Linked DNA regions of Callithrix jacchus. The protein of the gene in region 1 purifies or fractionates together with the protein of each later gene. This does not show direct contact. Links are inferred from orthologs where the notes say so. Each region holds a gene or a part of one and is shown on either strand. Other genes may lie near its edges. The genes, in order: KCNJ4 and DLG4.

The links.
Region 2: the proteins of KCNJ4 (region 1) and DLG4 purify together in Homo sapiens (affinity purification with western blotting, with the first as the bait; 3 studies listed by BioGRID). This does not show direct contact. The link is inferred for Callithrix jacchus from reciprocal best matches to the Homo sapiens genes KCNJ4 and DLG4.

What each region holds. Positions count from the first base shown.
Region 1 is NC_133502.1:209,372,723-209,377,029, forward strand, and holds the start of KCNJ4 (inward rectifier potassium channel 4), read right to left. Parts: upstream 2,905-4,307; 5' UTR 2,881-2,904; intron 1,332-2,880; exon of another isoform or gene 1,204-1,331; intron 1-1,203. UniProt on the Homo sapiens protein: Inward rectifier potassium channels are characterized by a greater tendency to allow potassium to flow into the cell rather than out of it.
Region 2 is NC_133506.1:73,683,175-73,686,193, forward strand, and holds part of DLG4 (disks large homolog 4), read right to left. Parts: intron 2,658-3,019; coding exon 2,481-2,657; intron 2,189-2,480; coding exon 2,152-2,188; intron 2,058-2,151; coding exon 2,030-2,057; intron 1,901-2,029; coding exon 1,853-1,900; intron 1,769-1,852; coding exon 1,667-1,768; intron 1,301-1,666; coding exon 1,128-1,300; intron 188-1,127; coding exon 78-187; intron 1-77. UniProt on the Homo sapiens protein: Postsynaptic scaffolding protein that plays a critical role in synaptogenesis and synaptic plasticity by providing a platform for the postsynaptic clustering of crucial synaptic proteins.

The DNA.
Region 1 (4,307 bases):
AGGTGGCCCTACTGGAGGGAGCCTTATGATTACCCAGTCACCACTGCCCCATTTTATAGACGGCAAGACTCAGTACCAGAGAAGGTCAGAAACTCGGCCAAGGTCACCCAGAGATGACAGAGCCGGACCAAACCCTAGTCTCCTGTTCTCCGTCGTTCTCCATAACCCTGAGCTGTCAGGCCTGGGCCCCACACTCTGGGTTGTCAGGGAACCCCCAGCGCCCACGGCTCGGGTTGAGCCAGCTACTTCCTGGCCATCCTGCCACTTCACTCTAGCCCTCTGAGGAGACCGGAGGGAAAGTGCTCCTGCCTCGAGGGTAGTGAGAGGAGAGAACACCTGCAGTTAGACAGCCAGAAGAACTTCCCTGGGAGTCTGGCTATCACTGACTAGACCCAGTGCAGAGAGGAAGAGACTGAGGCACCCCAAAGCCAGGTGGAGAACCTATGAAATCTGAAATCCCTCTGACTCTTCTGAGCCCCAAGGATGTCAGCATAAGAACAGCAACACACAAACCACCGTAAGTGTTTCTCTTCCTTGTGGGCTCGCCCTACACAAAAGGATCCAGTCCCAGCTCCTCAGTGTGGTATAGCCAGGTCCCACCTTAGCCGGCATCCGACATCCCATAAACCAACAGGTACACCCTGATTCCACAGATTCCAGAACACGCCACAGGCCTCTGCACCTCTCTGCCTGCACTCACTGTTCCCCCCTGCCTGAAATGCGCCTAGCACCTTCTTTGCCCTGAGACTCCTTGCTGTTTCCCAAGCCCGGCCTCAGTGCCACTTCCTTGAGAAAGCCACTTGATGACCCCAGCAGAAGTCATTCATTACCCACTCGTTCATTCAGCCAGCGCTAGGCACCCACGACGTACGAGCCCCTGGGCTGGGCACAAGTATGGTTCTTGCTTAGTGGGCTGAGGAGTCAGGCTAAACTAGGCTCAAAAGCACCTGAGAGCTACTTGACCTTGAACATGTTTTTAATTTAGCCTGTCTGTAGATTGAGGACCCTGACGTCCCCCATTCCCCAGAGGCAGATTAAATGAGGTGGATGCCCACAAAATGAGCAGTTCATGGTAGGCGCTCAATACATGTGACCGTCCTTTCTCAGGGATCTTTCTGTGCGGACCTCCACAGCGCACGTCCTGTTCCACGCCTCTCCCTGGTTACTCTGCTGTGTCCTCACAGGCAGACAGCTAGGACTGATGTTCCATCACATGAACGCTCAGTGCGTGGATGCAGGAGAGATTCAAGCAGCCTGAGTGCCCAGTCGGCAACAGATGTGTGCCTGGTCTTTCTCACCCTTTTGCATGGATTGAAAGTGGGAGGATGAAGGTGAGACAAATGACCTGCTTGGCCACAGGCCTGACCTGGTAGCTGTCCTGGGAGTGTGGGGTGCAGGGGGTGGAGGAAGGAGCAGAAAGGAGGGGAACATGGATACAGGGATGTCTGTAGATCCAAAGCATCTTCTCTCACAGGATCAGCCCCCTGATGCCAGGTCCCTAGGCACAAAGTTGAAGATGGGATGGGGGCTCTGGGGCAAGGAGGGTCACCTTTCCAGGCCTGGGCTGTGCCCTGAGGCAGCTGCTCATCCTGCAAGAAGACTGGATTGGGAGGAGGTGGGGAGAGGCAACCAGAGGAGCTCCAGGCAGGGAGAGGTTCAGAGACCCCAGGAAAGAGTCCTTTCTCTCCTCTCCCGCCCTGCGTGACCCTGGGCAGCCCACCTCTCCTTTCTCGGCCTTTGTTTCCTCATATGTCAAGTGGAAAACATAACACCTATTTTGAATATCTGTGTGTGTTTGTTTTTAGTTTGGTTTTTAGATAGGGTCTGGCTCTGTCACCCAGGTTGGAGTGCAGTGCTGCCATCTCTGCTCACTGCAACCTCCGCCTCCCCGGCTTAAACCATCCTCCCACCTCAGCCTCCCGAGTAGCTGGGACCACAGATGTGCGCCACCATGCCCAGCAAATTTTTGTAGAGATGGGGTTTTGTTATGTTGTCCAGGCTGGTCTCAAACTCTTGAGCTCAAGCAATCCGCCTGCCTTTGGCCTCCCAAAGTGCTAGGATTACAGGTGTGAGCCACTGGACCTGGTGGAGCAGCTGTTTTGAGGATAATCAGAGACTAAAGGAAGACTCCACATTGTTCACCTTATGTGAGAGTAGCTTCTAGCCCTGTGTGAGGTGGGGGGTGGAGATGGAAATGGGCATGCAGAGGCCTGGGAGGAATGTGAGGGGGTTGGGGAAAGGCATGGATGTCAGAACCTGTGTGTCCCTGGGAAAGATTCATGTCCTCTCTGGACCTCAGAGGCCTCATCTGTAATGGGACAGTGTGGACTGGGTCTCCCAATGGGCCTTGTCAAGATCCAGCACAGATTCGTCTCCCCGCCATGGAGTGAGGACAACCTGAATCTCCCTCTCTCATGCCCCCAGCTCAGCACTATCCAGACATTGACAGGCATTGTCTCCTTTCATTCTTGCAAGAATGCTGTGCTACAGGCACCTACTACCAATGGGGTAACTGAGGCATGGGGAGTCATGGGATGGGTGGCATGATTGGGGTGGCTGGAAGCAATGGTCTGGAGAAGAGAGGCTCACTCTGAAGTTTAGAGGGGAATGCTGGTGAAGCCTCTGTCCGTCCATACACTTTGGCAATGTGTCCTGCCCATCTCCTCTCTGTTCTCTCCCTTGATCCTCACAAGAGCTCTATGGGGTATGGGCTATGCGTGTCTTTACCCCACAGGTGAGGACCCTGAACTAACACTCAGAGAGGGGAAGGGCTTGTCTGGGGTCAATCAGGCAGTAAGCAGCTGTCTGGGCCAGGATTTGAACCAGGCTCAGCTCTCACTTTCTAGGGGAAAGGTCATTCCAGGCTAGCAGAGTACTCACCAACCAGCTCACTCTGGGGGACTTCTCATGCCTTCTGGGTCCGACAGCAGCCCTGAGAGCCCATGTGGAGGGCGGAGAGGAGCGGAAGGGAGGGCGACTTGGGACTGGCAGGTGGACAGCTGAGGAGGAAAAGGAAAAGGCCACTTCAAAATGCTAGAGTCACAGAGTCCAGAGGTTTTTGGCCTAGAGAGTGTCTTAAAGTCCAGCCAGGGCTGGGTGTGGTGGCTCATGCCTGTAATCCCAGCACTTTGGGAGGCGGAGGTGGGCAGATCACTTATCGCTTGCGGCCAGGAATTTGAGGCCAGCCTGGCTAACATGGTGAAAACCTGTCTCTACTAAAAATACAAAAATTAGCCAGACATTGTGGCGCACACCTGTAATCCCAGCTACTCAGAGGCTGAGGCAGGAGAATCACTTGAATCTGGGAGGAGGTGGACGTTGCAGTGTGCCAAGATCTTGCCACTGTGCTCCAGCCTGGGCTACAGAGCAAGATTCTGTCTCAAAAAAAGAAAAAAGTCCAGCCAGCCCATTCTGCAGATGAGGCAAACTGAGGAAGTCCAACTGCTTAGATTAGAAATCAGATCAGGACACACCCTTGGAGCTCTAAAATCCCAGCAGCTCCCAGGTGGTAAGGTCCAGAGGCAATTAAAGGGTCACTGGGAGGGCAGAGGGCCAGAATCCATCCCAGCAGGCTGTGCCCTGGGGACAGAGGACTGTAGGGGTCTCTCCTGCCCTCCACCTCCACCCTCGCCCACCCCCCAGCACTCAGTAGTCACCAGGGTGGAATATTTTAGCACCTATAGAAAAACCGCCACAGACGGCCGTGGCAGCTGTTGCTAAGGAGACGCTCCCAAAATAGCCCCCCTCCGCCAACCTTTCCCGCTGCTGCTCCTGCTGTGGGGAGGGGAGGAGACCAGGCAGGGAGGGGGTGGCACATGAGTCCTCGCCCCAGGTTCACCCACCCACCCTGGCCCCTGGTGCCCACTCTGGCCCAAGACACAGGTCTATGGAAGGGCAGGAGCTGTCCCATGCGTGCCTGTGACCTCAGCCACAGTCCTCAGCTGGGGAAGAAGGTCACTCAGGTGATAGGAGATGGGGGAGAAAAAGCCCCCACACCCAGGACCCCTCAGCACACTCCCACACATACACGATCACAGGTTCTCCTAGTTCTCTACATCCACTTGTGCACACCACAAGTACAATCCCACGCATGCCCACCGAGGGGCATGCACACATCAGCAAAGACATTAGATGCACGGGTAAACATGTGTCACAAGTACACATCCACCTGCCAACAAATGCCATGAAGCCATGAATACATGTTTTTACATCCATGTAGTCACAATCCATCCCAAATACACACGTACACCAATATACGCATGCCAGGCACACGGACACACACACACACACCCTCCTGGCACATGGAC
Region 2 (3,019 bases), on another chromosome or scaffold:
TTCACCGCAGAGGCCTTGTGAGGCCCAGGGCCACAAATGTGGGGGAGCAGAGGGGAGGCCCCCAGGACCATACTCACAGCACATTCTCCAGGGAGCGGGGGCGGATGAAGATGGCGATGGGGTGCAGGTGGGCCGCCTGCAGCCGCCGCACGGCATTGGCCGAGACATCGAGGATGCAGTGCTTCCCCTGGGGGCAGGCAGGGTGGGCGGAGGGGGGCCAGCGGGTGGCAGGAAAGGACAGACAGCAGTGTTGGAGAGACACAGGACAGGGAGAGGTGGGGAATGGGAGGTTGGCCAAGGGGGAGTGACATGGATGTCAAGAAACATGGGGGCAGAGAGTCAGGCGGGAAGGGAGTATGGACAGAGTAAAAGACAGAAAGAGAAAGGATAGGGAAGACAAAGAGCATGGGGAGAGGGCAGGGACAGGATAAGATGGAGAAGGGGAGGAGCACCAAGCAGGCAGGGACCCAAGAGAGGTTGTCAGAGCCAGGGCAGCAGCGAATGGGGCAGTGTGCACAAGGCAGAGGTGACACAGGCAGGAAGGAAAGCCAAGAAAAAAGAGAAAGGAAGTAGGATAGAGGGAGGAGGGAGGGGAGGACGGTCAAAGGACAGACAGATGGAAGGAACAAGGAGACAGATGGGAGGGAGGGAGGCAGATGGAGAGAGGAGCCGTGGAGGGAGGGAGGGCAGGGTGGGGAGCATCGGGGAAGGGAAAGGAGTTAGCAGAGGAGTGGGAGAGGGGAGTGGGGCCCCAGGAAAGGGTGAGGCAGGGGAAAGGGCCAGAGGGGAGTCAGGGAAAAGGGAGGGACCCAGTGGGGAAGGCCAAGCCACCAAAAACAAGGCCACAGGAAGAGGAGAAATGGGGCAAGGAGGAGGGAGTGGGGAGAGAAAGAGGCCAGATGGTGGTGGGGAGTTTGGGGTCAGGAAGCAAGGCAGGTGGGAGAGAGAGCAGGGGCAGAGAGCAGGCGGTCAGACAGAGTTGCCCAAGAGGAGAAGGAGGTGGAGGAGTGGAGTCGAGACCCAGCAGGGAAAGAGACAGAGAGAGAGAGAGTTAGAGAGAGCTGGAGGGAGGCAATGGGGTGGGGAGAGGGGAGGAGGAAGAGGACCAGGTGCCCGCCAGGTCCTACCTGCTCTGCCACCTCTCGCACGGACTGGACGCTGGTCCCATAGAGGTGGCTGTTGTACTGGCCGGCCTCAATGAACTTGTGTGCCTGAATGTCCTTCTCCATTTTCTCCCGGGACGACACAAAGTGGTAATCCCGGCCATCTATCTCATACTCCCGCTTGGGCCGTGTTGTATCTGCCAGGAAGTCACCCCACCCCCCAAAGATCTATCCCCCATTCCTCTAGCTTAAAACCATCCTCCATCAATCAAATCCCCATAGTGCCCAGCTGGTCATTTGGTGAAAGGGCACTGCCAGAGAGACCAAGACTGCAGAGGGGCAGGACCGCTTCCCCCAGCACCCTCCAGGGCCTCCAAGTCTCTGGTCTGGGCATGGGTACTGGGGAATGTGAGGGTGGCTGAGAAGCACTCCTTCTCAGAGAAACCCTGTGTCCCCCTGCACACCAACCCCCCAGGGGGCTCTGCCTACAGGCTGCAGGGATGGGCCTCCTCCACCCCACCCCCACTTCCACCTCCACCTCCATCCAAGGCCCCAGCACTCACGGGGAACACAGGATCCAAACTTGTCGGGGAACTCGGAGAGAAGATCATCATTGGCGCGGTCCTTGGTGGGCCCAAGGATGATGATGGGGCGAGCATAGTGCACTGCGGAGACAGAGCCTGGCTTAGGCCAAGGACTAAGTTGGAGCAGCAGCAGGAGTGGGGGCCAAGGCAGGGGCCAGGGCTCACCTTCCATCTGCGTCACTGTCTCGTAGCTCAGAACCGAGTCTTCTCGACCTGTCAGGAGGTGGCGCATCTGCAAGGGGCTCTGAAACAGGGGACCTAGGGCCCTGTCTCCCCCTTGAGGATATCAAAGGCAGCTCAGTGTGCCTCTCACCCACATCCTCCCGAACTGACCCTACCTACCCTGTGATCCAGAGCTGGAGCCCCAGTCCTAGGAAGAAAAAGCAGGCGGCCACGAGGTTAGCTATGAGCTCAGCTCCATGAGCCCTCAGGCTTCCACCCAGGCTCACCCCTCCTCCACCTACCTTGGCCTTTAACCTTGACCACTCTCGTCGCTCAACCCTGTGGGATACATGGAGGGAAAGGCAGATAGGAAAATGCCCAGTGAGGAACCCTGCTGCCCCCAGGCTCCAGGCTGGCTAATAATCCCTTCTCCCATGGCCCTGGGCCCTGTGCTCCTCAATGAGGAGCTGTCCTTCCCAAAGGCTCATGGGAGCCACAGTCCCCAGGAGGTCCCAACAGACAAACCCCTAGGAGGTCAGAGGGCAAACACATCCCCGATGGCTGTCCACCCCGAGGGACCTTGGGAATTTCAGTGCCTGTGGCAGGAAGGCTACAGAGCCCAGAGCCTCACCGCCGTTTGCTGGGGATGAAGCCAATGTCATCGGTCTCACTGTCAGAGTGGACCCGCCGTGCCTGCCACCACTCCTCATCGCTAGCATCGATGACATGCAGCACGTCTCCAAAGCGGAAGCTCAGGGCCTGGCTTAGGAAGCCGCAGTCCTTGGTCTTGTCGTAATCAAACAGGGCCCTGGGGGGCAAGTGGCTACTGGTCAGAGCCCGGCTGAGGACCCCAGGAAGGTTGCATCAGTCACCCTGAGACCCAGCCCAGAGATCTGTGGATGGCACTCCCATGGCCACAATGGGTGCTGAGTAACCCAAAACTGTGTGGGGACCAAACGCTGACTGTAATCGTAACCACCACAACTATTAACCATCATTCAGCCCACACTGAGTACAGTTTCCAGAGGGAGAGCTGGAACTCCACCCTCTCAAGAAAACAGTTTGCAGTACATGTGCGCATCATAAAGTCACAGGGGTAACCTTGAATCTGTCCAAATTAATAAGAAAAAGAAAGGTCCCGTGTCTGCAAATCATGGTTACCCTTACTAG